2 linked regions of the Danio rerio genome follow. The protein of the gene in region 1 interacts with the protein of each later gene in a pairwise test. Links are inferred from orthologs where the notes say so. Each region holds a gene or a part of one and is shown on either strand. Other genes may lie near its edges.

The links.
Region 2: the proteins of junba (region 1) and batf interact in binary tests that used the Homo sapiens proteins (3 or more experiments, as listed by UniProt). The link is inferred for Danio rerio from reciprocal best matches to the Homo sapiens genes JUNB and BATF.

The regions. Positions count from the first base shown.
Region 1 is NC_133176.1:55,047,758-55,063,742, reverse strand, and holds junba (junB proto-oncogene, AP-1 transcription factor subunit a), read left to right. Parts: upstream 1-6,140; 5' UTR 6,141-6,244; exon of another isoform or gene 6,245-6,365; coding exon of another isoform or gene 6,366-6,467; coding exon 6,468-7,343; 3' UTR 7,344-7,692; downstream 7,693-15,985. Other genes in the region: prdx2 (peroxiredoxin-2), read right to left, coding at 11,120-11,202, 13,223-13,353, 14,052-14,174. UniProt on the Homo sapiens protein: Transcription factor involved in regulating gene activity following the primary growth factor response. Binds to the DNA sequence 5'-TGA[GC]TCA-3'.
Region 2 is NC_133195.1:49,918,046-49,934,997, forward strand, and holds the start of batf (basic leucine zipper transcriptional factor ATF-like), read left to right. Parts: upstream 1-8,809; 5' UTR 8,810-8,853; intron 8,854-14,153; 5' UTR 14,154-14,247; intron 14,248-16,952. Other genes in the region: si:ch211-153j24.3 (protein c-Fos), read left to right, coding at 81-677. UniProt on the Homo sapiens protein: AP-1 family transcription factor that controls the differentiation of lineage-specific cells in the immune system: specifically mediates the differentiation of T-helper 17 cells (Th17), follicular T-helper cells (TfH), CD8(+) dendritic cells and class-switch recombination (CSR) in B-cells.

The sequences.
Region 1 (15,985 bases):
AATGTTTATTGCATTACTTTAGTCTAGTTTAGTACTCCAAAACATTGAATACATTATACATGAATGAAACACAGTAGTTTACCGTAAAAAGTTTTTAAGTTTAGTTGCATCTTATGTTGATAATGTTTAATACATTCATTTGGTCTAATTTAGTACTCCACAACACTGAATACATTATAAATTAATAAAATACAGTAGTTTACCGTAAACAGTTTTATGTTTAGTTACATCTTATGTTGATAAATAATGTTTAATATATTACTTTAGTCTAGTTTAGTACTCCAAAACATTAAATACATTGTAAAAAATAATTGAAATACAGTAGTTTACCGTAAAAAAAGGTTTATGTTTATTTATATCTTATGTTGATAAATAATGTTTTATTCATTACTTTAGTCTAGTTTAGTACTCCAAAACATTGAATACATTATAAATGAATGAATTACAGTAGTTTACCATAAAAGGTTTTATGCTTAGTCACATCTAGTGTTGATAAATAATGTTTATTACATTACTTGTTTAGTGCTCCAAAACATTAAATACATTATAAATGAATGAAATATGGTAGTTTATCGTAAAAAGTTTTGTTTTGTTACATCTAATGTTGATATATAATGTTTATTGCATTACTTCAGTCTAGTTTAGTACTTCAAAACATTGAATATATTATAAATGAATGAAATACAGTAGTTTACAGTAAACAGCAACCACAGCTGCCAGTGTGTTTTACCGTAAATGTATTTTTACAGTATACAGCAGAAGAGACATAAGTGTCGTCTTGACAGAACTCTGATTTATACCTGAATGTAGGTGAAAGGCTCTGCACTGCTGCTGAATGGCGAAACATTGGTTAGCACCTGGCTCCATGCCCAGCCAGTGATGATTCAGACTTATTATCATATTGAGGAGACAGTAGTGGCTTTCTTTTAGTGCTAAACAGGTGTTCAAATGTGGTCGCGCGAATATCTTCACGCACCAGAGATGTGAAGCTGCATTGTGTTCTGACCTGCTACAAACAATCGCTTTTTTCCTATATTATTAAAACTAAGGTTGAATGACAGCCATTGTGGGTTAGGTGAAAAACAACATACATAAAAGGTTATTTATAGTGGAAATGGGGATTCAGATGTTCAACACACTAAGAAATAAGTGTTTTTTTCTGATTATTAGAACTTTTTTTGTAGTCAGACAGTCTAATCATTAGATTGTTCATATTATTGTGGCATGAATTGTATTGAGAATGCCATTATGTGCATTGTCTGCAAATGTTTACAATGTACATGACTGATTTTTTTCATGTTTTAATCAATTGATTTTGTTTATAAACTCTGAAAATTGTAAATTGCAAGTTATGTTTTGAAGGGATATCTTTTGGTTTGGCTGTATAGAGGGTTGGGGGTTGTGCAGGGGAAAATGTGTTTTTTCCTGTATGCTTATACTTTAATTATTATATTTTTTATAAAGTTAATCAGGCACAAAAAGAAAGCAAGTGTTTTGTTTTGGTTTTTAAAGAACAATTTTCTTATATTATTTTTTTAGCATAACTTTTTATGCGATTTGTGATTTTTATTTGCAATTTATTATAGTGTGCTTGTATTCAGTCTAGTTTTCATGCATGTAAAGCACTTTTTTAAGATGCTACTTTTAAAAATATATTCATTTTAAACCTGTTTAATCACATTATTTATCTGTTTTTAATCACGTTAATGCTTTACATTTTTTCAGTTCTTATAATTATTGTATTTTATGGTTAATTTTTGTTTATCTAAAGCACTTTTAATTATTATCATGTAAAAATATGCTACATAAATTAACTTGCCTTATTTTAAAGGTGCTATATAAAACTATATTTTATTAATATATTATTAATAAAATTATTATTAATAATATATTATTACTATTATTTTTAACATTACTATCACTATTATTGCTTTTATTATGATCGTTGTTGCTATTATTATTATCAACATTATCATCACTAATATTGTTGTCATTATTATCTTTGTTGACATTATTGTTTATATTATTATTAGCATATTATTACTATTATTTTAATATTATTATCACTTTTATTGTTGTTATTCTTTTGTTGTTGCTAATATTATTATTATCATTTTCACTATTATTATTATTAATATATGATAACTGTTATTTTAATACTATTATTGCTATTATTGTTGTTGTTATTATTGTTGCTGTTATTATTATTAATATTATTTGTCTGTATTATTTGTCATTATTATTATTATTATTATTATTATTATTAATAGCACTATTATTAATGATATTATTTGTCGCTATTATTATTATTATTATTATTAATAGCACTATTATTATTAATATTATTTGTCATTATTAATATTATTAATAATAGCACTTTTATTTGTAATATTATTTGTCATTATTATTATTATTATTAATAGCAGTATTATTATTAATATTATTTATCATCATTATTATTATTATTATTATTATTATTAGCACTATTATTATTAATATTATTTGACACTATTATTATTATTAGCACTATTATTATTAATATTATTTTCAAAATACTTTTTGTTGTTAATATTAATATTATTAATATTATTTTCATTATTGTCAATAGTAGTAGTAATACCACTATATTATTATGGTCACTATTCTTATTATATCACTATAACTGTTATATTACTATATTATATATTTATATTATTAATATTTTTACCATTAATATTGTCACTATTATCATCCTCATCATCATCACTTTTATTATCAATAGTATCATTATAATTATTATCAAAATGATTCCAGCATCACTGAAAATCCCCCTTTATTTTTAAGAGTGCATGCATCAAGTTTGAGAGACCGGCACAACTACACTAACATGCAGTCTGCATTAATATGTCAGATGAAGAACAGATAAAGAACAAATGAAGAACGTGCTCTCTGAATCTCACACTCTTGCGCCAGAGTGTTGTGTACGTGCTGCTATCTATCAGCCTTCTCCCCTCCTCCAGCGCTCCATGTGCGGGGGCGTCGCCGCTGGAATCAGGCCCACATGGGAGAGGTTTCCCGGTCCTACACTAAGGAGGAACTACACTGCGGTTTGCCCATATATGGGACTCATATCAGTTGCCAAATCCTGAGTCAGATCATTCCAGATCAATGCAGAGTTATGTTTACAGGTTATACTTTAGAGTACAAATCTCTAGTGTAAAACATCAGCAGTTTCTTTTTTTATGTTTCTACATATTTAGCTTTTGAATTGCATTATGGGATCTTTCTTTCAACAACTTTTAGCCATAACAAGTGGCTTTATTAACATTTCTAATAGTTTAAAGTGATATATTGTCTGGGTTGGTGTTGTATATTGTGTTACAAAAACCTCGTAATAAACTGCCAGTACATTTTCTTTGATTTATTTCTCTCAATATATTATTTCTTATTCATTATATTATTTCAAACTACACTGTAAAACCCCAAAAGTTAAGGTAACTCAAACCATTTAAGGTAACCTATTGCAACAAACTTGAGTTCAAAAACTAATCCTAATGAGTACTGTGAACTTACTCCATTTGAGTAAACGAAGCAATTTGATCACAGTAAAACCCAATAAATGAAGAGAACTCAAACCAACTGAGTACTGCAAAACTCAATGAGTTAAGGCAACTCAAACCGTTTGAAGAAACTGATTGCTACAAACCATTTGAGTTAAAAAACAAATCAATATGAGCACTTTACTCCATTTAAGTTGAATTAATGAGGTATTTAATTAACTCATTACCTTCAACCCTGAGTTCAAAACTATTTTCAAATGAGTTCTCTGTTAAAATAGTTGGGTTAAAAATACCCCAACATATAAATCAACTATAGGTTATTATAGCACCTTCCCAACTATGGGCTATTTTAACCCAAAGCATTGGGTTATTTTAATTAAATGTTATTTTTTCCATTCTGCTATTACTATTGAAGTACTACTTTTATTTTCTAACTATGGCTGTGAAAATTAATGAATCTCTCCGCTGGGTCCCAAAGGCAAGAATGGCAGGTGAAACTGATATAAAAAACATGACACAGAGAGTAATTTGATAAAAAATAACAATATTATTATGTTACAGCTTAAACTTCACAACGCAAAAACAACATTACTTGCGCATATTAATACAGCTCTTCTGTGTCAGTTAAATCAGTTGACTGTGGAAATTCAAAATTTTAACCCAACTAGTTGAGTTATTATTAAATAATCTAATAAAGGTTCAAATATATCTTAACAAAACATCAAATATTTACCCAACTGATTGAGTTATTATTAAATAATCTAATAAAGGTTAAAAAATATCCCAACAAAACATCAAATATTTACCCAACTGATTGAGTTATTATTAAATAATCTAATAAAGGTTAAAAAATATCTCAACAAAACATCAAATATTTACCAAACTGGTTGAGTTATTATTAAATAATCTAATAAAGGTTAAAAAATATCTCAACAAAACATCAAATATTTACCAAACTGGTTGAGTTATTATTAAATAATCTAATAAAGGTTAAAAAATATCTCAACAAAACATCAAATATTTACCAAACTGGTTGAGTTATTATTAAATAATCTAATAAAGGTTAAAAAATATCTCAACAAAACATCAAATATTTACCAAACTGGTTGAGTTATTATATAATAACCTAATAAAGGTTAAACGTAACCCAACAAAACATCAAATATTTACCCAACTGGTTGAGTTATTATTAAATAACCAAATAAAGGGTAAAAATAACCCAACAAAGCACCAAATATGTTTAACTCAACCATTGGGTTTAAGAAATAACTAAACGTTAAGAACGTGTAGAGTTAACTTTCAGTGAATTTTGAGTTAACTCCACTCATTTCATTTGATAAAGTTGACAAAAATGTCAATAAAAGTCACTTTGTTCAACTGCAGAGTTTAATTTTCAACATTAAAAGTCGACAGAGCAGATATCAACATCCCATAATGCAATTCACACCTATAAATAAACAGAAAACACACATGTGAATCACTAAATACAGTAACTGTTCATTAACACATTTTTATTTACAGTGAATTCTATGAGAAGGATCTATTATTATTACTAGTCATGTTTTATGTGTTATATGACTCAGTACTTAAAAAGCAGTCCAATTCAAATAGCTGATAAGCCCTTGTATGAATCTGTATTAGATATTCTCTTAATTACTTTTATTTTTATATTACTCACTATAGCCTTTCCTAGCATGTTTAACAATAAAGCACATTAACGGGATAGTTCACCCACAAATTATATGTCTGTCATCATTTACTCACCTTTTACTTGCTTCAAAACTTTTATGTTGAACAATGAAGAAGATATTTTGAAGAAAGCTGAAAAAATCTAACGGTTAAGAAAAACAAACACAATGGAAGTCAATGGGTTTCCAGCATTCCTCAAAATATCTTCTTCAGTGTTCAACATATAAAGAAAGGTTTGAATCCAGTCAGTAAATGATGACAGAATTGTAACTCTTGGGTGAACTAACCCTTTAATAGAGCTTCTCTTGATCATTGACGAGATGATGTGGTAGCTCAGACACATTTAACTTGGGCTGAAATCCCCCAATCTCAATCCTGCAATCCTGTATTTACTTAAATGGCCAGTTTAGATGCTCCACCTAAATTAAAGGAATATATTTAGAGCTTGACATTTAAAATAAATTCCAATTTCGTTTATATTAAAGAGCTCCTCGTATATTCTGCTTCAGATCTACGGAGATCACAGTATTGTGTTGGAACCTTTTGTTTCCATTTCGACAAGAATGTTTATTATTATTATTCACACGACATCCTCTAACGTAGTGTTTTTCTCAAGAGACCACAGTAGTGTTTCTGTTTTCATGGCCATGGGAAACTTTTCTTAAAAGTGCCGAGCTATTGCGGCCAGTTTTTGCTTCTTGTCTGTGGAAACAAAAATAGGAGCGCAGCGCTCGGTCTCCCTTTGCTCTCTCGCCTCCAGCGTTGTTTTCAATCTCAGCGCTTACTGGCAACAACGTCATCAACCCATCTGACAGCTCGAGGAGCGGAACGAACTCTCGTCCAATCAGCGGCCGCGATTATCTCAGCCACGCCCTCAGCATTTGGAGTATATAAGAATGAAGGCGCACTTATCATGATACTGAATGCGCGACGGGCCAGAAGAGCTGTTTGTAAATAACCGTCTGGGAAGACACTTTTTGGACGTCAGCTGTCGAGAGAAAACACCTGTCGAATTGGTACAGTAAACTATTTTGGAAGTTTCTTCTTTTTTTGCTCTCTTTTGCCTGATGTAATATAACGGAGAGAACTTGCGGACTTTAGTCAGCTTCAGTACGTCCCAACGTAATCTCTGTTCACATGTCAACAAAAATGGAGCAACCGTTTTATGACGACTCGTTTCTTTCTGCTTATGGTCATCCAGACGCTGCCCTGCACGACTACAAGCTCCTAAAGCAGAACATGAGCGTGAGCTTCGCCGAACCCTACCGGAACCTCAAGACCCTCCGCTCCGAAAGCGACTTCTACACGGCGGCGACCGGAGACGTGGGCTCGCTGAAACTCGCCTCTCCGGAGCTAGAGAGACTCATCATCCAGAACGGTAACGGCGTCATCACATCACCCACGCCGGGGCAGTATTTGTACGGTCGGAGCATCACAGAGGAGCAAGAGGGCTTCGCGGACGGATTCGTCAAAGCGCTGGACGAGCTCCACAAAATGAACCAAATGCCCCCGCCGAACGTGTCCATCGGAGCCCCCGGGGTGTCGAGTTGTTCGGTGGCGTCGTCAGTCTTCGGCGCCTCCTTACCGCCCGAGACTCCGGTGTACACCACCCTGAACAGCTGCAATCCTAACACTAACCTCACACCTGCAGCCAACTACCCGACAGCCACCATCAGCTACCTGCCTCACCATCACCACCACCAGCAGTACCACCACCATCACCACCAGCCCACGCCGCATCCTCATCACTTCCAGCACTCGCTCCATCCGCAGCGGCTCGTTACTCTGAAAGAGGAGCCACAGACCGTCCCCGACCTGCAGAGCAGCGATGGTTCTCCTCCCATGTCGCCCATCGACATGGAGGACCAGGAGCGCATCAAAGCGGAGCGCAAGAGGCTCCGGAACCGACTGGCGGCCACCAAGTGCCGGCGACGGAAGCTGGAGCGCATCTCCCGGCTGGAGGACAAAGTGAAAGTGCTCAAGTCGGATAACGCCGGACTGTCCAGCACTGCGTCCCTGCTGAGGGAGCAGGTAGCTCAGCTTAAGCAGAAGGTCATGACCCATGTGAGCAGCGGGTGCCAGCTGATGCTGACGCCGAAGATCAAGTCGTTTTAGGGGGGAGAGGGATGCTACGGACTCTGGGAAACACTGGAAGAGCAGATCCTGTTTGTGATGATGTTATTGTCGCAGCACTGAGTACGAGCGTTGTATATTTCTTAAGTGTTTTCTTGTAGAAAACTTTAATGTTATTGTTGTTTTCCAAAGATAAGGTACTTTCAGCCGAACGGACAATGGACTAAACTTTTGAAGTGAACAGTTTTGGTTTTGTTGTTAAGTGCTGCCCTTTGAAAACATTCCAGTAAGTTATTGATATTGTGAGTCAGGTTGAGCCAGACCTTTAACTGTTTTTCTGTTTGTTTGTTTTTGTTTATTTTTTATATTTAAGTAAAAATGTTGAAAATGATTCTACTGTTTGGGTTGTTTATTTCAAGCGTAGAGCAGAAACAAAGTTTATTCTGTAGCCTACGGCTTTAAAGTTACGTCGAAGACGTGCCCACGTTGGCTTTTTTTTTCCTGCTGACGCAAGGCCCATATATGGGCAGTTTTGGTCTATGTACGTCACTAAGGGTAGATTTCGGGAACCCCCGCCCACGCTACCGGTCAGGAAGTCCGCGCGCTTTCAACTCTGACGTTCGATGAATGGAGCGCGTGTGAACGAGAGAAAATTTAGCAACGCGGGATTTTCCCCGCGCGCACAAACCTTCCCAAAACAGTTTCAGCGAAAAGAAAACTAGAGATAAAAATATGAGCACGGGCATTTTCCAGGTACTTTGCAGAAAACGGAGCCGTCGCAAGCACAAAAATAGACAAACAGATCTCAGTAAATATAAGAGCAAGGCTTATAAACGAGAAGTGCCCACAGTGACTCCTTTATCAGCTATTTCCCGAAAACACACAGGCGGTAGATTAGCCGAACTGGCCATTAAAAACGCCAACCCTTTATTAAAATGTTAAATTCATTTGAATAATTCCTAAAATACTTAGATTTTAGGTGACAAAAAGAGGGTTATTTGTCCATTATGCTAATTACACCTTTCAGATGTTGAATGAATGGTTGTTTCGAGCCTCCTCACAGACTATAAACACACATCTACACTGAATTGTGCCGTAGAAAGTTCACTTAGCTACTTCAAATGTTTTCGCAGCGATGCAGTGTTAGAAATCTCTTCTTAAAAGAAGGCATCTTGCCTATTATATTTTCTTTTACAAAATCATCTGGAAAAGTACCCTATTCCACAATAAAGATCAATCTAAAAGTTTCTAGATTATAAAATAGCCTTTCATTTTAAAGAGCCAAGTCAACATTTTAAACCCAGGAATTTTTACTGGCAACATATGAAGTTAATAATTAACATTTTTAGCATATTTTTTAGTTTTGTAGTGGTCATTTTTGTCACCATAGTCTGAAACCAAGCTAATACACGTTATAAACATTTAGATTTTTAAATAAGGTAAAGCAAAGGGACAAGACAGACAAGAAAATGAGTGAATGAATAAGGTAAAGCTTGAGATGACAGGATAATAACACGGCACACTTTATATTATAATATCTGTTATATTTAAAAAAAAAAAAAAAAAAGTATAACATTTTATTAAGGCAGAATTTACCTTTTTCATGGACACAGAAATGAGCCCTGGCCTTTAAATAATAAGAAAACACGGGGATGTTGTAAACAAAATTACAGATTTAAGCAATAAAGACAATTCTAGGAGATTAACTAAATTACTATTTATGTCTGAGCTGGTTTAAAATTCAGTGTAAAATAACCACAGAATTTACGAATCACTTGTTTAAGCAAGTACACATTCACTCAGTCCTGAACACGAGATTTGCCAAATATTTATTAAAATTGTTTTGGGTTTATGTAGAAAAGTGATTCCTGCTTCATTACAGCTGAATCAATGAGGACTCCAGAGCTGTAACTCTGTCCTAACTATAATGAAACACTGCCACCTGCAGGGCAGATTTGTTAATATTCTGTTAATTTTGACTTCCACCAAAAATATTGTAATGTCATTATCAGAGAAAATACGTTTGACTTCGCCTGCTACCTTTAATCTTAATAACTTTATATTCTTAAACAAGCATTTTAATCAGGGTGTGAATCATTTAGGCCTATGTTCGATAGCGTATTACACGCTTCAGTGAATCAAATGTCTGTTTTATATATTTATATAATAATATATGTTTTATATATTCATTTTAATTACGTATATTTTAATAATAAAACATAAGTCTTCAGTGTTTTAAAGGATATTTAGCGTATTCTAACTTATAGTGACTCGATTAGTCGTTTCAGGGGTTACTTTAGGTCAATCTATATAACTCAATTGACTTTAGTTTTAAGTTATATACAGACACAAACATATATTCTACTTAAAACAAGTGTCTTTTAAACACTTACGATGTCTGTAGCTGCTGAAGACCTGCCAGTTTCAGACTATCGTCGAGTGAATGTTTTTTCCTCACAGAGTGTTTGGCGCGCTTGCCTTCACAATGGTATGAACCGTTATAGGGGTGGTAAAATGTATATTTATACTATTAATTGAATTATAATATTATATAAGATACTATGGAGGGAGAAAGGGAGAAACCTGCAAAAACAATAAAATAAAAAATAAATAGCAAATTAACTAAATAATAAATCCACAAATTCCTGCATAAATAAAACAATAAATCAATAAATATGCAAATTTATCCCAAAGTCCTGCCTAAATAAAACACTAGCCAAATAAATAAGTAAATAAATTAATAAATTCCTGCATAAACAAAGCAATAAATTAATAAATATCCAAAAAATAACTTAATGTATATAAAACACAAATTCCTGCATAAATAATTGTTTAAATAGTACAGGCAGATTAAAAATAAATTACACAGATGTTGGGGGAATAAGAAAATGCTTAACTGAACGTGGATTTCTCCCCCTTTCAAACTACTATTAATTATGCACAAATTTGTAGATTTTATACATTTAATTGTGTATTTATTTAATGTTTTATTTATGCAAGAATAAATATTTGTTTGCGTAGGTATTTATTTATTGTTTTATTTATGCAGGAATGTGTATGTATTTATTTATTCATTTATTTGCATATTTCTTTATTGTTTTGCAGGTTTTGTTCTCCATACCCACACTATTATTCATTTCAATATTTATTTATGCAACATTTTTAAAAAAAATTTTAAAATACACTCATTTGGATATTTATTTAAGGTTTTATTTATGCAAGAATTTATTGATTTATTTACTCATTTAATTTTTGCCTATTTATTAAATTTGTTTTCGCAGGTTTAGTTTCATGAATTATCATGCAATTTCATGATATGCATTTATCTCTCAAATTCTGTTCCATCTATTATAATTCTAATATTAAAACATGAAGAAAACACTACTGTGTCCTTCTGCATTTAAAATTCGGTTTACCATGCCATTACCATACCTTCTAAACTAATTAAATGTTTAATTTGAGGTCAACCATCCATTAAGTAGCAAGCACAATAAGACAACTGCAACATTCAGCAATAACAGCCTGTTTATTTAACAGAGATATTGACAAAATCACCAGAATGCCAACAACTTGAGAGAATTTAAAACCAGCTATGTTCACAGAGTACCAAATATGCAATGCAGACTAACTAGCTGAACACAAACTACAGATATTTCAGTGCATGAGAGACGCGGGCTGAAACGGCTTCTTCAGACAGAAATCAGACTAACTAGTGCATTTAACCTGTGTTTGTTACGATGGCTAAATCAACTTTTCTAGACCCCCTCAGGCTGAATTTAAGTGCTTCAACAGCCCAGTGAATGCAGAAATAGAGACTGTTACTGCTTGGAGAAAAACTCCTTGCTCTTCTGCACGTCGGGAACGATGGTGTCACTTCCTGGCTTCCATCCAGCAGGACAAACTAAAGGAGAAAGCATAAGAAGTTATAATAAGTGATTTTGGCGCCCTCTTGTGTCATGCATAAAGTATTACATCAGTTACAGTTCAAAAAGTAGGGAGTCTTTAAGATTTCTACTGTTCTTTAAATATTTGTATAATGTTCACAAAGCTGAACTTACGAATATTAAATGCAAAAAAAAACTTTCATACTTCAATTAAAAATAACTGATTTCTATTCAAATGTTTTAAACTTATTTCTGTCTCGCAAAGCAGGATTTTCAGCATCATTGTCGTCTTCACAGTCACATGATCATTGAAGAAAAACTAGCACCGATAGCAATTTTCTTGGATGATTCAGATTCCCAATTTTTTTTTTAAATATACAAAAAAAAAAAAATTCTGAAAAAAAAAACAACAGAAATATAAAAATCTGACAAGACTCCAAGTTAAATTTTGCATGAACCAGAGGAATTAAGATGTTAATTCAAATAATGCGAGATGAAATGAACAAATTCTTGACGTATTGAGCATTACAGTCATGTGACCAGTCAGCTGTCTCCATTATGCTTTGTTTACTTTTGGTTGCTAGGTTACCAATACCACAGTTGGCCACTTTAACAACCTGATAGTGCTTAACCCAGTTTACTGACAAATTAAAAGTCCTTCCGCATATACGCCATTAAATAGAAGACCAGCCGGTCATCGTTTAGGCCGATCATGAGGAAATGTCAGCTGATTACAATCCCTGGCCAGTCAAGAGAAAAAAAAACCTGATTCATATAACGCACATTAGTCGCACTTTTGGAGTCACAAAGGTGCATGTGCAGGCAACTTTTTCACTTCATAAGACCTCAATGCATGGTCAGCAGTCAGAGGTGTTCATTATGTTTTGCCTGTATGCATTTTTTTTTACTCTAAAAGTGGTGGTTGATGCTGACCTGCATTTAATGAAACCAGCAAGAACCACAATTGCATTTAAAAATCTTCTTTAAAATGTTCTGAGATAAAAAAAAGGTGGAGGGGAGAGAAAACCTAGATGGAATGACTATAAAAAAATATTAAAATCATTTGTTTTCATTTTTATAGGTTACTTTCTTCTAAATCACACAAAAATATCAGATTTCAAGTCAAACTTGTAGACGGTAATCTTACTAAAGACGTTGGCTTAAGTTTTGCACAAATAAAGGCTTGACACCCCTATTTCAGATACATTGTGTTTCACAATTTAACTTTTATGTTGCCTTCAGGATGCGTTGATGTTTACACAACAAATACAACATGCTTAGAATGATCTGGAAACATGTTTGACCCCATTTACACAAAGATCACCCGAGACAGACATTAGAGGACATTAAAGGCTCATTTATACTTCTGCGTCAGGCGCAGGCGTATGGTCCCTTGCCATGGCTGACGTGTACCTCTCAAAAAATGTATTGACGCGTAGCGCAAGCTCTGTGATTGGTCAGCTTGGTTGCGGCGAGCTCCCTGGAGAAAGTAAAACCGCTCGCACTTTTAGACAGCCTCATAAAACAAAAACAAAAAACAGGACAAGGCAGATTTTGTTCTCGGCTTTGTGGCTGTTCATCAAGATGATGAAGGTTAGTTTGAGCTTAGGTCAACCATGGGTTGTTATTATATGCATATAGTATTACGATGTAATGTCTCAGCTGTGCATTTAAAAATGGCGGTTTCTTTGTTTTCATTCTTCTGTTTGTGTATGCACGAGTGACATTTCTCTGTATATCAATAGCATTCAGTTGCGCGTTTAGCTCAGTCTTTTGGTACCTTTTTGTTGTGCTTGGGTACTCTTTGCAAACGGTGCTCAAAAAGTGGTACAATACAGTTCGCTTGTAGGTACCTTTTGACAGTGGAAACAGCCATAAAAGTGTACCGAACTAAACCGTACTGTAACACTCAGTGGAAACAGGCCATTATAGTACAACAGCGAGCACGTTAAGTATAAAAGCCTTCACAGTTCTTGGCTGTGCCAGAAGTATAAAAGTATAAATCAGCCTTAAGAAAGAGAGTGTGTTTTCTCTCACCTTCTCCGTATTTGTCGGTGTGCTGGAAGGCCTGCACCAGTCGAAGAGTCTCGTCCACAGATCGACCCACCGGCAGGTCATTGATGGTGATCTGCCTCAAGATGCCCTTATCGTCAATCACAAACAGACCTCTGTGGGAGCAGGAAAACACAAAGAACACTTACTCTTAATGCAGGAATTTGGTTGAGCATTCAAGTTACATTTTAAAAACACATGAGGTCCAATGCAAGGTAAACACCAAACAAATTAAAGCATAATGTTAACTGCTACATAAGAGTTAACACTGATCATTTCTTATTACATTGTCTACATTTGAGCATAAATAATGTGCCATTAGGTGGACATTTTTTAAAATAAAATAATAATAAAAATAAATAAATGCTAAATGCGTTTATAAACGGTTACATTTTCATTTGATCTGATTTCACGTTATTCGAACAAAAAGCATGACCATTAATAAACCTAAACCTATCTATCTAAATATCCCAGGTGCATTAATTCAACACACAATTCATATGTTTCCCTTGTGGTTTGTGTATCCACCTCCCCCAGCAGTGCACGTGGACACTAGAGCACACTTGACCATGAAAAGAACACTATACACACATTGCAGAATCACTATAGTAGTCAACCCTATACATAACACCTTAACTTTCTGAGTTCAAATGCATTATAATAACATGCACCTTTTGTAAAGCTGCTTAATAAGTGCTATAAAAAGAAGCTTGAATTGAATGGAATCATAAAATCCTGCTGCAATGATGCACTGAAAGAGAAAGAGCCTGTAATTTAACTGAAGCAGAGCAAATGTCATCATAAAATCACAAACCTGTAGGCGATGCCCTCGTCCTCCTTCAGGACTCCGTAATCACGGGAGATAGACTGTGTCAGGTCGGCCACCAGCGGGATGTTCATGGAGCCAAGGCCACCCTGCTTCCGTGGTGTGTTGATCCTGTCAGGAGCAAAAGCAGAAGTTTGGTTTTTTATTTATTGCCACTTGAGCAACTTCTGGCTATTTCATGGCAAGATCAATACATTTATTCATTCATTTTCTTTTCGGCATAATCCCTTTATTAATCCGGGGTCGCCACAGCAGAATGAACCGCCAAGATCAAAGTACATAAAAGCATTACATCAGAACAACTTCATATTTAAAAACATGTCACGTCATCGCAGGAAAAGAGGAGATCCAATGAGAACTGACATGAAAAGGTTTTGCATTTACTCGATTACAAATTAGAGAATAACTTCATAAATAAATTATAATTAATGATAATATAATAATAAATTTTGTATGCACTTATCTTTATTAAAATGGGAATCTCAATGCTTTCTCAATAAAAGTGATCTAAATTCAAGTAGTAGCTCCTAGAACAAGTTTAGCTTTTATTATTAACCAACAAAACCACATATCTAATATTGTATTATATGCTATTTCTAATTCCTTTTATTTATATTATATATTAGGGACACGACGGTTCTCGTATCGTACCGCATCATCTCGTTGTTCGTCCATGGTCCAGTGCATCCTGTAATCCGCGGTTCAGAATATGAATTACGAGTGTCAACACAAATTATTGGAAGCTTTATTAATGATAATAAAAGCTATTAATACAACTAATAAAGCCACTTAAATATATTATTATTATATTTAAGATTTTTTTTAATTAGTTTTAGTGAAAATGCTAAAAAAAAAAAAAAGAAAAAAAAAAAGAAAAGGTCAGCATGATTTATAGTAAGAGTTTCTAGAACAAATAAAGTGCTACACCCTTCCTTTATCTGTGTCTCTCTAACTCACTATAGTAGCCCTTATCAGTGACAGGCTGGTCAGAAGAACACTAGATAACAGAGCGAAGCCATAGAAAACCTGAGAAAAAGCACGTCGTTCACAAGTATGAGAAAAAATATATCGATGAAGACATCTAATGTATAGTGCAGGACCAGCAGTACACCTCAACTGAACAATAAGAATGTGTAGTTCAATACATTCAAAGTTAAAAATCATATTCATCACTTGTTATTGGAAAAATACCGAAAGCCCTCCTTTTAAAACAATGCTTGCAAGAATAGTCTCATTGTTTGGTATTGGAAAACAATAGTATGTCCTTTGTAGGATTTCTGAAGCAAACTGATTATAATGGTCTGTGCATATAACTTGTGTCTGGCATCACCTGCTATTAATATACAATTTTTAAAAACATTTATATTGTATGTACATATACTTTTATATACTTGTAATTTTGTATGATTTGCTTTCTGTAGTACATAATAAAAAATAATAAGAGACAAGTTAATAAATTAATAAGTTTTTAAAGAAAACACATTTATCTAATCAACTTACTAATTTCAGCATTTTAACAATCATTTATGAATGTGCTGTGCTTATTAAAAGTTCTTTGCATAAAGACGTCCAACATTTTCGTATGCATTTTGTTTTCATATCCCCATTTGAAAGATTTGTCATGCACAGAAACCTTGCCTTTTAGCTGTCGCTTGTACGGTGGCTTTGAAATCTCAAAAACCCTCTCAAAACACTTTTTACAGATGCAAAAAATGAACAGAAGAAATAAATATAGCCGTAAGTTAGGCCTGTGACGATGAGGAATTTTTGTCGTGTGCTATATTGTCAGAGAAATTGCTGCGATAAGCAATATAAGTCATTTTGAGATCATTTTATTCCACTGATTATATATAATAATGCAAATAGCCATAAACACTTTAAAATACTCATCATTCTTACGGTTATTTAGACTCTATAATTTA
Region 2 (16,952 bases), on another chromosome or scaffold:
TAATATTTTGGGAATGTACAGAGCGGCTAATAATTCTGACTTCAACTGTATATATTAATCCACAATCCTTATCTGTCCAGGAAACCGACGGTCTGGAAGAAGACAAAGCGGCTCTGCAGTCTGAGATCGCCAGCCTGCTGAAGGAAAAAGAGCGACTGGAGCTCATCCTTTCAGCTCACAAACCACACTGTAAACTCACAGAGGAGACGGAGAATGAGGAACCAGCTCCAGCCCAGGAGGAGAAGACTCAAGCTGCCAGTGTGCCAGAGCAGGTGCCCGCCTCGCCCCCGCAGGCCGATCCCACCAGCGCTGCCATCTTCGGGGACTCAGACGTCCTGCTGTGCTCCAGTGCTGAACTGGGCGCTGCCGAGGTGGAGCCGTACATCGACATGAGGGATGTGTGCATGGAAGATATCAGCAGTGTTATAGACAGCGGCGATGACATGGATCTGTTAGTGCCGGATATCGACCTGAGCAGCTCTCTGGGTCTCAGCGAATGGGAAACGCTGTATATGTCGATGGGCGGCGGGCTGGAGCCTCTGAGCTCGCCCACATGCAGCCCCAGCACCGATGCTGTGCCCGTCTTCAACTTTACTGACGCAGATGCTGAGGATCATGATACCGGTAAAGAAGAGGGAAAATCAAACGCAGCCAAAGAAATGATGACGACTTTATGAAGGGTTCTGGAAAGCCACAGTGTAAAAATATAGATCTGTTAATTAGCAGTTTCCATATGTTGTGATTCAATTCAGTTCGTCTTTAATTATTTCTATAGCGCTTTAACAGTGTAGATTGTGTCAAAGCAGCTTACGAAGTTCAAGTAAATTTAAACTGCTCCAGTCCAGTTTTCAGAGTTCAGCTTAGCTCAGTTCAGTGTGGTTTAATTTCCACTGCTGAACACCAAAACACTGAAGAGCAAATCCATCGATGTCCACAAGTCCCAAAACAAGCAAGCCAGTGGTGACAAACATACTTCACCAATTTACGAAAGTGAAGGAAAAAAAACCTTGAGCAAAAACAGGCTTAGTTTGGTGCTCAATCAGTTCTCCTCAGGCCAGACTTCTTGTGCAGGGGTGCGTTTCCGAAAACCATCGTTAACCAACTAATGTCACAAGTTCCGTAGTTACAAACAGAGTTCGTTGATTTGCTGTTTTCCAAATTTATCGTTCCCAAAAACATTCGCAAACTACAGCTGCGTCCCTATATACACTATACACTATGCACTATGCACTTATGCACTTACACACTCAACAGGATAGTACATGTATGTAGTGTTGTCCCAAATGGCACACTAATGTGTTTTTACTAAACGGAAATTCAAACCGTTTCTCTGATGACGTTTGATGGTCGCCAAATCAGTGAAATAAACGACTGAATTATCAAATAATACCTGCCGTGAGTATAACCGCATTCACCATCGGGAGGTGCTATAATCACTCTCGTAGGAGAATTTTGCTTTCAACATCCAAAATAAATAAAGTTATCCAACATGTGCGTCCGATAGCTCCGCCCCTTCCGCTACGTGAGCAAACCTGCGGTCGTTGAGTGCGTGAAGTTTCCATCATTACACACTTCATTTTAGCGGCTAAATGAGTGCATCATCCGCGTAATTAAAGTGCTCTTATTATTTTTTAAGTTTTCAGTGTCAACGCACTACTTACACTATATATTTATACTACAAAATGGCGTAGAATAGTGCATAAGTATGCGATTTGGGACGCAGCTTACGTCAAAATCACGTTTGTTAAACACTGGAAACTACAACTCTGGCTGTGTTGTATTTCCACTTATTCCCCCTGTGCCCTATTCGTTTAGAACATTCTAACATTTATAGTTGGAATTATTAAAACAAACAAACATTAAAGTCATCTCTCTTAGGTGTAATTTGCTTTCAAAGTATTTTTACAGTTCAGTTTTAGCAATCTTCATGTTTACAATTGCGCTTGCGCCGCAGTGCACTTTGAAAACATTAGAACACGGCCGTGGCCAATGACGAAAGCTATAGATGACCTATTATTCATTCATTCATTTTCTTGTCGGCTTAGCCCCTTTATTAATCCGGGGTCGCCACAGCGGAATTAACTGCCAACTTATCCAGCAAGTTTTTACGCAGCGGATGCCCTTCCAGCCGCAACCCATCTCTGGGAAACATCCACACACACATTCACACACACTACGGACAATTTAGCCTACCCAATTTACCTGTAGCACATGTCTTTGGACTGTGGGGGAAACCGGAGCACCCGGAGGAAACCCACACGAACGCAGGGAGAACATGCAAACTCCACACAAACGCCAACTGAGCCAAGGCTCGAACCAGCGAACAAGCGACCTTCTTGATGGAGGCGACAGCACTACCTAATGCGCCACTGCTTCGCCCTGACCTATTATTTAAAAGCGGAATTTAGGCTATGTTACGTCTCCGAAGCTTTTAAAAACAAAAAACATATCACACGGTAATGCTTTTAATTTATAGTCGGTTGTTTATTAAGTATCTGTACTGTATATGACATGGGCCTGTTGGTTAGGACATTTCTGCGGTGGTTTGCAAGTGTCAAAGTGTAAAAGTAGACTTTTCTTAAAATAAAAAATAATATAAATAAACAATATCCTACTTAATAATAATAACCATCATCATAATCATTAATATCATTAATATTATTATTAAAGTAGGATTTTTTTTATTTTCTAATAAATAATAAATATTAAATTTCATTTCTTAAAAAATAGTCTGATTATATGATTTGTATATGAGATTAGAATATGTGTTTGCTTTTGTACGTGATTTTATGTTATAGAATAGAATATGTAATATTCTCAATAATATCTGTTAAGAAACACAGGCCCTATATCTGCCTTTTACATATATTTCAGTTAATACGGAAAGCGAGTGCATGTTTTTACCCAAAAAAATATTGGATTTTTTTTTCAAATGTGTGTAAAACTATATAATTTGCGCAAATTAATGATGTGGTTCTTCTCTAAAGTAGTTGTTACCCCCCCGTTTAGAGCATCTTTATGGGCGTTTTACAACTAACATGGTTCAAACAATAGATCTGCGACAGAGAGACTACGAGTTTTGGGAAACACTCGTCACTACGTCGATCTTTTCCCAAACGATGCATCGTTGCATGCATGGTTCAGCCGCATGGTTCAGCCGCGAGTTACGTCAGTGTTTGGGAAACCCACCCCAGAGTTTCAGTCTAGGTGCTAGACTCCTGGGCAGTCTAGGAGAAGCTGCATATCAAATGATGGTTTTTTGATGGTTGAAAAGTCAACTCTACAGTTAATCAAAGAGACTTTTATTGACATTTTTGTCACTTGAAATAATATAAAGTATATATAGAGAAATAAAATAACAGAAAATGTAATGGCAGTATATTACAAGGCTTTTGTAGAGTAAGACACAACACCAACCCAGACTATATATATTATATCACTTTTATACTCTTAAAAATGTTAATAAAAGTCACTTTTTAAGGGTAAAAGTTGTTGGAAGAAAGGTCAAGGTCCTGTAATGCAATTCAAAAGCATACATAAATGGGGAAAAATAAAAACGCGAATCGCAAAATATAGAAAGCTGCTAATTTACTGATATTTTTTACTGTGCACTCCTTAAAGGAACACTTCACTTTATAGTATCAAGTAGGCTAATTTTACAAGTCTCCAAGAGTTAAACGGATGAGTTTTACCAATTTTTAAAATGCATTCAGGCAATCTATGAGTCTAACAGGAGCACTTTTAGATTAGCTTAGCATAGATCATTGAATCGGATTAGACCATTAGCATCTCACTCAAAATATTTAAAAAAGAGTTTTGATAATTCTCCCATATTTAAAGCTTGACTCCTCTGTTGTTGCATCATGTGCTGAGACTTACAGAAAATGAAAAGTTGCAGTTTCTAGGCTGATATGGCCAGGAACTATACGTTCATTCAGCGTAATAATCAACCCAGGTAGCAAAGAATTCTGGCCCAGATTTGGCATAAAGCTGGCACAGCAGGCATTTATTCGGCACTGGCATACAGCATGTGGTGCCAAACAGGTGGCACCGTCTTTAAGATGGCACACAAGACTTGGGTTAGATGTAAAATGTAGTATTTGGTCCAGATGTTCAAAATGTATATGTGGGCCAAATAAGTTTGGCCTATCTTCACCCACTTTTAAAATGCATTTAAATTATGTTTGAATAAAGAAGAAATTCTGGCTATCAGGTCGCTTCAAGAAAAAGCAGGTCCATAGCACAAATGCTTCATAAGTTTCTCAAATTCATTGCAGTCGTGACACCAACATATCTGGTCTAGTTCAGGTCCAGTTATGGGTTGTTAACTTGGCTAAGACTTGGCCCAGATATGGTCCAAATTTGGCTCTTGTATGGAAGCCAGACTTGGTCCAGTCATGTATCATAATTCACTGCGGCATGTGGGCCAAGCAAAAACTGATTGTGTGGGCCAGATCTGGGCCAGAGAAGTTTTGCTATGTGGGAAGGTGGCTGCAGCAGGAGCAGTGATAATACACAGAGCCTGATAATATTCAATAGCATTCAAAAAGGGTAAAACTCATTTCTTTAACTCTAGGTTAGTTGTAAAATGAGTCTATTTCCAAAAGAAAGTGGAGTGTTTCAATAAAATGAAGGTTCTAAAATAGGGTTTTATTGGCATCTTTAATGATCCTTTACATTCATTGAACCTTTCCAATGCATGGAAAGTTCTTTGAATTATTAAGTTGTTCCTCACTCTAAGAAATAAATGGTTGTTTTGAGCACTAAAATGTTTTCTGGAGGGGGAAAATGGTTCTTCAGTTGCATCACTGCAAAACAAAAAAAATATGATTAAGAGCCCAGAAGAACACATTAGGTTTCCCATAAACAAACTGGTAGAATATTTTACTCTTGAATATACTTACTGGCATTGATGTTTCCATGAAGGATTTTTAATAAAAAAAAGTAAAGTTATTTTTAGGATTGAATAACCATAATTGGATCCACGCAGAAGCTTTCTGTTAAAATTGTTCTTAAAGTCAGCTGAGACTTTAGTTTCAGTGTGCTGATGTACTAACAGACAGAACACTGAGCAGGGGCGGGGCTTTTTTATGCACGATTCCTTTTTACAGGGTTTCTGCAGGGTCCTAAAAAGCCTTAAACTCGCTGAAATTATGTCTTGTAGGTCTTAAATCCTTTTAAACAAGTCTTAATTTTCATCTGTCCATGCCTCCAATCACCAACAATCCATCTCAAAAAAACCTTCGACCGAACTCTATATACAATTGTTTGTTTTTTTTGAAGAAGAAAGTTATGTTTAAAACAAGTGTGCATGGATACAACTAGCATTTGCTTGTTTTGAAACATTATTTAAAATATGTGGCTAAGAAATAACTAATTAAATATATATATATATATATATATATATATATATATATATATATATATATATATATATATATATATATATATATATATATATATATATTTGGATGAGGCTAGTAAACCTCGTTTTCACAACCAACTGGAAAAAGTCCTTAGTGTTCAGCCCTATATAAGTCTGAAATTCCCTTTATATCTCAGACTTAGATTAAATATACCAAAACAAACATGGCTTTTTCAGGCGTCACGGTGGTGCAGTGGGTAGCATAATCACCTCACAGCAAGAAGGTCCCTGGTTTGAGCCCGGCTGGGCCAGTTAGCATTTCTGTGTAGAGTTTGCATTTTCTCCCCATTTTGGGGTGGGTTTTCTCCGGATATTCCGGTTTCCCCCACAGTCCAAAAACATGCGCTACAGGTGAATACAATTAACTCAATTGGCTGTAGTGTATGTGTGTGAAAGAGTGTGTGTTGGTGTTTCCTAGTAAAACAAAATTTGTTTCCTGTAAAACAAATGCTGGATAAGTTGGCGGTTCATTCCAATGGGGCGAACCCTGATGAAAAAAGAGGCTAAGCTGAAGAAAAAATAATAAACATTGCTTTTTCAGTTGCAATTGCACTAACTTGCATTACCTAAAGCATAACAATGTGGGCTAGCAAGATAAACGCTGCAAAAAAAAATTCAATTCCAATTCATGTTTGTTTATAGAGCTTTTACGATGTAGATTGTGTCATAGCTTACCATAGAAGTTCTAGTAAATTGAGTCCAGTTTTCAGAGCTGAAGTTCAGTTCAGTGTGGTTTAATTTTCACTGTTGAAAGTCCAAACACTGAAGAGCAAATCCATCAATGCGCAGCTCCACAATTCCTAAACCATGCAAGCCAGTGGCGACAGCGGCGAGGAGCAAACTTCACCAATTGACAAAAGTGAATGAAAAAAAACCTTGAGAGAAACTCAGTTGGGCACGACTATTTCTCCTCTGGCCAAACTTCTTGTGCAGAGCTGCAGGCTAGGCGCCGAGACTAAATAACACAGACTTTATAAGAAGCATTTTTCTTAGTGTGTAAATAATCTAAATAACATAATTTAATTATAAAGAAAGTTTGTGTGGAATGAAAATCTGCATGAATGATAATTGTTCTTCATGGAACCATCAATACCAATAAATGAAGTTTCATAAACTAATTTCGAGAGGAGCACGTGATACGATTGACTGCAGCCGGCCACTCATCTACGCTCATTAGCTAGCCAATCAGAACGATCCAAACTCACTATAAATAACCTAGCTAAGATGTACACCCCTATCTTCGTTTTCCGAAGAAACCCCCCATCCACCCCTTCTCCTCCTTTCCTCTTTTGCCGAGGGGAGCTCTCGAGAACACCTGACCTCGTACTCCCCTCACATGCTTTATGGACCTAGCGGGAGCCCTGGGCTCAACTATCTCCGAGCTCAGGGTTCTCACCCGGGACAGCATGCCAAACCTGCTAACTTGCTAATAAGTTGTCAAACAGTATCTAAGTGTGAACTCTTGAAATATCCTACTGATACTCGTAAGTGTGCGGAAACAGTCCAATGCACACAGAAGGTTCTTTCAATTATCAGAACGTTCTCAACACTACGTGATAAACGGTTGTTTTTTAGAAGAGCACACGAATATTCTCTGGGCGGAAACAGCTCTTCCGTGGCATCGCTTCAAAATAAAAGAAAATATTTTTAAAAGCAATGAATACTCTTTTGGTTTCCCCCGAAGCAAAAGTGTTTGGTCCTCCATTTTATTCCTGGTGTGAGGAATAATTTACACATGATAAAGCTTCTCTGATGGCATTGAAGGGGTGGCATGGTGGCTCAGTGGTTAGCACTGTCGCCTCACAGCAAGAAGGTCACTTGTTAGAGTCCTGACTGAGCCAGTTGACGTTTCTGTGTGGAGTTTGCATGTTCTCCCAGTGTTGGCGTGGGTTTCCTCCAGGTGCTCTGGTTTCCTCCACAGTCCAAACACATTCGCTATTGGGGAATTTAAGTAACTAAATTGGCCGTAGTGTAAGAGTGTGTGTGTGTGTGCATGTGAGAGTGTATGGGTGCCTCCCAGTACTAGCTCTGCTGGAAGCTAGCTCTCTGCAACTCTCACATGGTCGCCATGAAAGCTATATAAGCAGGGCTGTACCTGGATGGAAGACCACATGGGAAAGCTAGGTCCATCATGAGCACCAGAGCACCAGGAGGAAACTCGCATCAACACATGGAGAACATGCAAACTCCACACAGAAATAATGAGAAACTCAAACCAGCGACCTTCTTGCTGTTAGGCGACAGTGCTAACCATTGAGCCACCGTGCTGTCACAATGAAAATTAATGGTTCTTAATCACAGAAGGTACTTAATACTGTAAACAAATAGTTAAAGTGTTCTTCACATTAAGAATAAATGTTCACCGGAATATTTGTAGTGGATTTGTGAGTGATCATCCCTGAGGAAACAGCTCTCTTATGGAATCTTTGTATGATCCAAAGAACATTTTCCACATTGTGCGTGCAATACAAAGGTCCACGGGTGTTGTGGGTTCTTTGGTGCCACAAATGCCAATAAAGAACCTCTATTTTATAGATGAAATATTCTAAAGAATGGTGTGAAATACAACAAAAAATCATTTCATAAATGAGTCTGACATGTTCAACACATGTCTAATATAGTGGAAATATAGTGAATGCTGTGCAGTAGATGTACTGTGACCCTACATCCAGTGAAGTCACTGTTTGTTTCTTCCAGTTTGTTGGCATTGTTGAATATGTTGTCCATCTCTGTGAAAGACATGCTTTCATGCACTTTTGTACCAAGAGGTACGTGTAACTGTATCAGTTGATGTGTTGATGTACAGTGCGGTCCGTTACACAGTGTCCAAGTGTGTGACTTACTGTTTTTACATATTCTTTATTAAAATTACAATGTAATATTGACCATGGTGGCAAAAAAATCATGCATATTTTATGTTTTTGCTCTTCCTGCTTCCTTTTCTGTGGTCTGGCATGTTTATAATAAACAGAGAATACATATTAAATAGGAAATGTGTCTGTCTGTCTTTGTTTTCAATCTCCTCTCTGAAGCCCCTCAAATAATGCAATGCAAATGAATGCATCGTTTCTAAACAGCAACATACATAACCCTCATGTCTAGAATGTGCACTATAATTTTATCACAGAGTATCGAGATCCATGTATTTTTGAAGGTTTCTGTGTTTTCACCCACATAGATTCGATGATACCGAGGCTGCTGTCATGATCGGAACGTTCTCAGTACGCAGAAACGTACAGCGCCTGACGTCAGTGCGTATTTGCGCGCCACACATTTTTTTTCCCTGTCGTTCGCTTGCACTTCCGTGTCCATATATGGTGATCTTGGGGAACGTGCTGTTGTGTCTCTATGGGAACAGCAGAGTCGTGTTTCAGCTGAACTGCAGTTTTCCCGGAAGATCAGTCGAGAGGAGCGGAGAGGAGCTCTCGGTAGGTTACGGGAATTGCTTTGTGCTCCCAAACCTTTTGCAGAAATTTATGTACAAACCCAGCGCACATTTAAAGCGTTCATATATAACAAAGGACAGTCTGTTTTATAAAATGGCCACGCGGTTTTTAATAATATGGCTGAATTGTTTGGCTAAAGCCCTCGTGCACACAATCACACTGAATCACTGCTAAACACCTCGCAGTCTGGTCTAAAACCTAAAACTACTTGTCGTTTGTGTTTATTTAGCTGATGTAGCATCCTTAAAAGCTCACGAAAACGCTTTATTTCGTTAAATTCCAGTATACTATTTGCTTTTTTAGCTATTACAAGCACAATTTGTGTGGAAAAGTTGCACTAATAACTATTATAGTTAACAAATATAATATTCGGTTTCTGTAATATTTGGTGACCTAGAAGTCAGTATAATAGGCTAGTCATATCTTATTTTATTTGGTTAAATGTTTAGAACACACACAGACACAATGCATTTATATATATATATATATATATATATATATATATATATATATATATATATATATATATATATATATATATATATCAATTTAATTAATTTTCTTTTAAAAATCTTTGTATTTGCTCTATGCTATCCTAATTGCTACAATGATCAGGCATTTTGAGTTGTGTAAATTACAATAAAATCTAAATCTTTAATAAACAGCAGTTAAGGTAAAACACTTTCTTATGCAGCACTGAGCCATAAATCTCCATTTCAGAAGCACTAACAACTAACAGTTTGATTCCTATACTTTTTATCCCTTATGTGCTGTTGGGGATGTTTTCATCCACTCTGGGGTGATTTTGTGTCTGAATTTGCCCATGAGCTTTCTCTGTTTCAGCAAATGGAATCAATTTTTTGGTGACATTTTATTTTGACATTTTGAAAAATAGATTTGAATAATAAAAAAAAAACCTCACCAATACACTCTGAGCAAATTGACTACCCTTTTATGTTAGGGATGAAAACATCCACTGAATTAAACTGCTGTGAAAATGCATCAGATAAATATTTATTTGAATTTTTGGAATCTTTCAACCTCAGTCCTAAACAAAACTAAATTATTCAGAAAATTTCAGGATTTTAACTCTTTATTCGACAAGTTCACAAACGATGTCACTGATTTGCTGAAAAAAAACACACACACACACAAAATGACGCATTTTCAATATAAGAATTGTTGACTGGGTTTTTAAACCTTTTATCAGAGTCTCGGACATGTGAACGATTAGTAACAGCATTGTCTTTGATTGATTTTTATTTTTCCCTAGTTTACTGTTGGTGACTGTTTTTCCCCCATTGACTTCCATTATAACCGTTTTTGTTGATAACAAAAACAAGACACCATATAATCCTGCATTTCTGATTGTTTGTGGTTAAATAAGTAATTTTTACTTTTGATCCTCAGTTGGCAGCGTTAAACCTTTAGATAGGCTTTTAGAAAGCATAGTTTTCGGATTTTATATAGAGTATAACAGCAAATTAAAGTGTGTGTCTGCGAGTGTGTGAGAGTGACCTTTACGCACTTACTTTGATGTGTCTGAGAAAATTAAAATGTGCATCTCGGCTCTAAGAACTACATGGGGTAAATAAAAACAAAGACTGTGCATTTATGCACCATCAAATGTGGTTAATGGAAGTCAATAGGGCAAAAACAGCCACCAACAGTAAATTAGAGAGAAAAAATGAAAATCTAATAATGTCTCAGCCAATGTTGTTCTTAATTGTTCACATGTCCAAGACTGATAATTTATTTTTTTTTAAATCCAGTCTACAATTACTCTTTATATTGAAAATGCGCCATTTTGTGTTTGTTTTTTCACCGGAAACAGTGCATCATTTATGAATTTGGCAAGTACAGAGTTAACATCCTGTAATTTTCAAAACAGTTTAGTCGTTTTGATCAGGACTGAGGTTGATTAACAGAATTATGCAAAAAAAAAAAAAGAATTATGAATTTTAAAATCTTATGCATTTTACAGCAGTTTAATTCAGTGGATGCTTTCATCCCTAACATAACAAAAGTGTAGAACATTGGAACAGTGCACAAGGGTTAAACAATGATTTGTTAATGCTTAATTTGGCTGATTATATGCAACATTTTATTCTACAGAAATGTATATTTATTTATTTGGCCATCAAAGAGAATAAAATAAGTAATAAAAAGAGATTGCTAAAATAAACTTTGTAAAAGCCTAGAAAAAAAAAAACAAGAATTTAAAACGTAAAGTCATTTCGTCCAAAATTTTTTGCTAGGAATGCATGCAAATTATTATTATTAATGCATGCATATTTAAACATTTTATCATTTAAAAATATATGCAGTTCTTTATTTAATCAATCAACTGTGCAAATACAATGACTTTAGTAGTCTTTCTTTACTTCATTTCAGTCTCACTTTTATATGCTTTTTATTTATATAAAAGCACTGAATCCCAATCATTTAATACCGATTACCAACATTGGATGTTGCGATTTTTAATTTACAAATTCAGAATCCAGCCAATTGCAAATAAACAAAGTTTTAGGATCCTGCAATAATGACTTATTTGTCAATATATCCACCAAACTGAACTCTTTTACTGTTCTCAGATAATCATCAACAATTTCCCTCATCCTTTTCTATAATCGCTCGTATGCAAAGATTAAAAAATAGTATTAAAATCTAATTTGAGCAGAATGAAATCTTTTGCTGCAAGTGAATTGTGTTTTTTCCTTCGTAAGCGCCTCAATATCAGTGTCTTGGCACACACACACACAATATCAACCTTTTCTTTAGCGCACTTTATTAAATGCACAGTGGTAAAAGGGGAAATAAAATGAGTATCCTGATAGACAGACAGTGTATGTGTATAGTCCGTCTGTTCAGGTTCATCTTTTTTGATTAGTCAGCATGTGCCAGTGTTGATGATTCAGCCGGCCCAAGTAAAGTTCTGCCCAGGACATCCTCTTTTTGCCATGATTCAGGTTGCAGTTTTTTTTTTATTTAGCATATAGTGATGTCTGTATAGGCTTCCGGATGTCTGGTGTTGAACCTGACTGTTTAAATCCAGAAGCCATTGATTCTTATCGTCCTATAGCGTCGATTAAATAAAGTTTCCATTTCTTTAATGCAGACAAATACAACAACCATACAAAGACATCATGAACCCACCTTTAAACTAAAATACCTTTCAATAGTTTATAAATTTGTATCCATTAACTTTATGTATTGTTCAAATTGACTACCCTTTCATTGCGTTCGTGCCCCACTGACTTCCATTATAACCACATTTTTGATTGCAAAGCCTTGACAGCATATAATTATACATACTTCATTATACATGCTTCTTTGTTGGGCAGAGGGTAAATTTGTCATTGTTACTGTTGATCATCAGTTGGCAGCATTAACCCTTTAGATAGGCCTTTGCAAAACAGTTTCTGGCTTTTAAATTGAGTTCTTTGAAGTGTAAAACAGAAGTAAAACAGCGAATTATAGTGTGTGTGTCTGTTTGTGTACGCATAAATACACTTACTATGTTTTCTGTGTTCTGAGTGCTGAGCTGCTTATTTAGATTTTTTTACAGACGTATCAAGGTAAGTGCACAAACGTCCTTTATATATACACACACACACACTGTCCTCCATATATCTCCAAAGCCAGAACCTAAGCTTTTTTTTTTAGCACTGCATCCGATGATAAACAGTAATAAATACACATCGTACACTACTTGACAAAAGTCTTGTCGTCTATGCCAGCTGTAAGAGCAACAAATAATAACTCGACTTCTAGTTGATCATTTAGAAAAGTGTCAGAAGGTCGATTTTTCTGATGGATCATCTGTTGAACTGGATCTCAATCATCACAACTACTGCAGAAGACCTACTGGAACTCAAAGATTCTCACAGAAATCAGTCAAGTTTGGTTTGGAAAATTCATGGTTTGGGGCTACATTCAGTATGGGGGCATGCAAGAGATCTGCAGAGTGGACGGCAACATCAACAGCCTGAGGTATCAAGACATTTGTGCTGCTCATTACATTACAAACCACAGGAGAGGGCAAATTCTCCAGCAGGATAGCGCTCCTTCTCATACTTCAGCCTCCACATCAAAGTTCCTGAAAGCAAAGAAGGTCAAAGTGCTCCAGGATTGGCCAGCCCAGTCACCAGTTATGAACATTATTGAGCATGTCTGGGGTAAGATGGAGGCGTCATTGAAGATGAATTCAAAGTATCTTGATGAACTCTGGGAGTCCTGCAAGAACGCTTTCTTTGCCATTCCAGAAGACTTTATTAATCAGTGATTTGAGCCATTCAGAGATGTATGGATGCAGTCCTCCAAGCTCATGGGAGTCACACAATATTCATTATTTCTCCACTGCAGCATGACTTTATATTCTATACTAGACATTATTTCTGTTAAGTGACAAGACTTTTGTCTATGCAAAGTCAGCCCTTACTGTCCTAATTAAATCAGTAAAAATCAAGGCATGATCATATTTTATTTTGGTAAAATAAGCACAATTTAGACGACTTTGACTTTTGATATAAGCCACTTCTGATACCAGATGATCAACTAGATGGCAAGTTATTATTTGTTGTTCTTAAAACTTGAATAGGCAACAAGACTTTTGTCAGGTAGTGTACCTCTTGCCAACAGGAAAAACCACCAACAATCATAAATACAGTATTATATGGTGTCATGGCTTTGCAATCAAATATGTGATTATAATGAAAGTCAATGGGGCAAAAACAGCCCCGAACATAATGAAAGGGTAGTCAATTTGCCCAGGGTGTATTGCACAAAGGTGTATTGTATTTTGTTTAAAGCATTTTCCCAAAATGCTTAAACACAGTGAAAGTTGTGGCCAAATTAAGACTCAAAATCACTTCAGAGTGGATGAAAACATCCCCAACACAAGGTTTAAAACTTCTACTGCAGCATCAGTCCTGCTAAAGTGTCTAAATAGTGCATAAATAAATCATAATTCCTTCATGTTCATTGTGCATTTTTCTTTCCGGATGCATCATATTTCCAGAATGGGAAATGGGTTTTTGTTTGGAACAATGTCTGGTTGGTAAAGAAGAAACGTGTATCATTATCTTGAGTTTATTAATATTTTTCTGGAATGCAGAAGTGTTGGGTTCAGGATTTTGAATGTGAACGTTCTGCCATTGAAGGAGGAACGAGTTCATTATTAATAAGTCATTTTTGCTTTTAGAAAGCTTCTTCTTTTGTGCTGCACATCTTTAAAAATAGCCACGCACTGATGTTGACATGTATGATGTTTAATTGTCCAGGTCTGTGCTGAATCCTGATGACTCCCCTGATGATGCGGTGTTGCTGGCCGACAGTAAATGTGGAAGAGGAAGTGTGTGTGTCTGTGTGTAAGAGGTGAGACACAGAGGTGATTGTGTCTGCGGTTTGTCTGTGCATTTCAGTGGATGCCAGATTATCCAGGATTTGGGTTATTGGTGGAATAAATATGCACTATAAATATTTTAAACGTTTTTTGTTTGTTTGTTTGCAGCAATGCCATAGAATCCAAATATTATATTATTCCGAATATTCCAAAGAATATTTTAAGATTTCTTTCTTAAGCCCTGAACTGTTTATTTAATTGCATTATGGTGACCATGGACCACAAAACAAGTCATGAGGGTGATTTATGAATTATTCTTAAATAAGCTTTTCACTGATGTATGGTTTGTTAGGATAGGGCAATATCAACCATTGAAAATCTGGAGTCTGATGGTTCAAATAAATCAAAGCAGTGAGGAAAGATTTAGTTTTTAGCAATACGTAGCAATAAAAGTGACAATTTTGACTCAAAAAATTGTGTTGTTGGCCATTCCTGCAAACATACCTGTACAACTTAATACTTTTTGTGTGGTTTTGTAGTCACTGTATTATTTTATTCATCTATACCTGAATTATCGTGACTGTATTTCTTATGCATATATCATTTTCAAGTGTGAACTCAAAACGTGAACAATTAAAATTATTGTTATGCAGATTTGTTTTCCCATTAACAAAACACAAACATACTCACCGGCCACTTTATTAGGTACACCTGTCCAACTGCTCTCTAAAGCAAATTTCTAATCAGCCAATCACATGGCAGCACCTCAATGGATTTAGGCATGTAGAGACGGTCAAGACGATTTGCTGCAGTTCAAACTGATCATCAGAATGGAGAAGAAAGGTGATTTAAGTGACTTTGAATGTGGCATAGTTTGGTAATGCCAGACAGGCTGTAGGGTTTGTGTATTGTTGACTATGTCCATCCCTAATGACCACAGTGTACCCATCTTCTGATGGCTACTTCCAGCAGGATAATGTGCCATGTCACAAAGCGTGAATCATCTCAGTCTGGTTTCTTGAACATGACAATGATCACCAGATCTCAGTCCAATAGAGCCCCTTTGGGATGTGGTGGAACGGGAGATTCGCATCATGGATGTGCAGCCGACAAATCTGCAGCAACTGTGTGATGGTATCATGTCAATATGGAGCAAAATCTAACAAATATTTATAGTACCTTGTTAAATCTATGCCACGAAGGATAAAGGCGGTTCTGAAGGCAAAAGGGGATCCAACCCGGTAATAGTAATAAAGTGGCAGATTAATGTAAAGTGGAAAGCAAAAGAAAACAATATTGTAATTTTCAAGGTTCATGCTTATTCCTGTTTAATATGTTTACAAACTATTTTATAAGTTCTCTGAACAGGATTAAAATAGCAGTTTTTGTTGTGTATGTTGAATTAGTTACATTCTAAAGTAGTTTTTCTCTCAGTAATAGAAAAAGTGAGTGAAACCTTTTGCCTTAATTAAAAATACAGTGTATTTACTTATAATTTTAATGTAAAATTAAAAGTATAAATGCACATATGTCTATAATTATAATGATTAAATTAAGTTAACTTAACAGGTTTACTAACTTTTTTAAGTAAAGTCAGCTTTTCACTTTTAAGGCAACTGGTTTACTTATTATTTTTACTGTGAAGTGAGTAATAACTGTTTACAGTGTTTTTACAAATACCAGCACAGGCCTTTAGAGGTCATGTCAGAATTTACCAGTATTTTGGAATGGATGTGTGAATGCTGCTTCTCCAGGGGAAATTAGGGAATGTTTCTGCCTGTGTGAACTATTCATTTTATCAAAACAGAAAGAATCAAAAGGCCAGACTAACATTTGCTGAGGAGCATGTTTTGTGGACATAAAACTGGGCAAGAGATCACTTCAAAGATGAGAGCAAACATATATTTCAGTGCAATGAGAAACATTATGTTCATTGTCAACCTGAATGAAAGTGTGTGCAGAGGCCAGTAAAGGTGAAGGAGGTGAAGTGTCTCGGTCTGGTGGTGTTTTCTGTTATAAAGCTCAAATGTGTTTTCACTCAAATGCTGCTTGTTCTACATACCTTTTTGGGCACAACTTAAATGTTTTATGTTCAATCCACTTAAATTTGTACAAACAATTAACTTGATTGATTTGTGTTTGGACAACATGATTGTGTGGAAGCCAGCATGTTTCTTGGCATTACGGCTCATTCACATGAGGCGTCAGCGCTTCATATTCACTGAATAGATGACGTCACGCTTTGCCGAACTGAATTGTGGGTCCGTCGGCGCTGCTTTATTTGGGAATTTCTCAACTTTTCAAACGCCAACTAAAACGTCAGCCAATCAGATCACTGTATGCAAACACACTAGCTCAGACAGTAGCTGACTGCTGACTAATTTCATTGGCTGACACTGCTATGACGATCGCGTCAGCCCAAACTTCAGACACATCCTCTGTCAAGCGTTGACGCTGAAGCCCCGTGTGAATCGAGTGTTAATAGCAGATACCAAAAGCTGTATTTGTTTTGGACATATAAAACACTTTTCCATGATTTATTGGAACTTAAAGTGTCTACCTGTAGACAATCATACAAACTGTGTTTTATATCTGAGGTCATATACAGTGGTTAGCACTGTTGCCTCACAGTAAGAAGGTCACTGGTTCAAGTCCCTTTTCCCCCCACAGTCATGTGATGTAAGTGAACTAAATAAACTAAATCGGTCTTCGTGTTTGAGCGTGTGTGTGAATATGA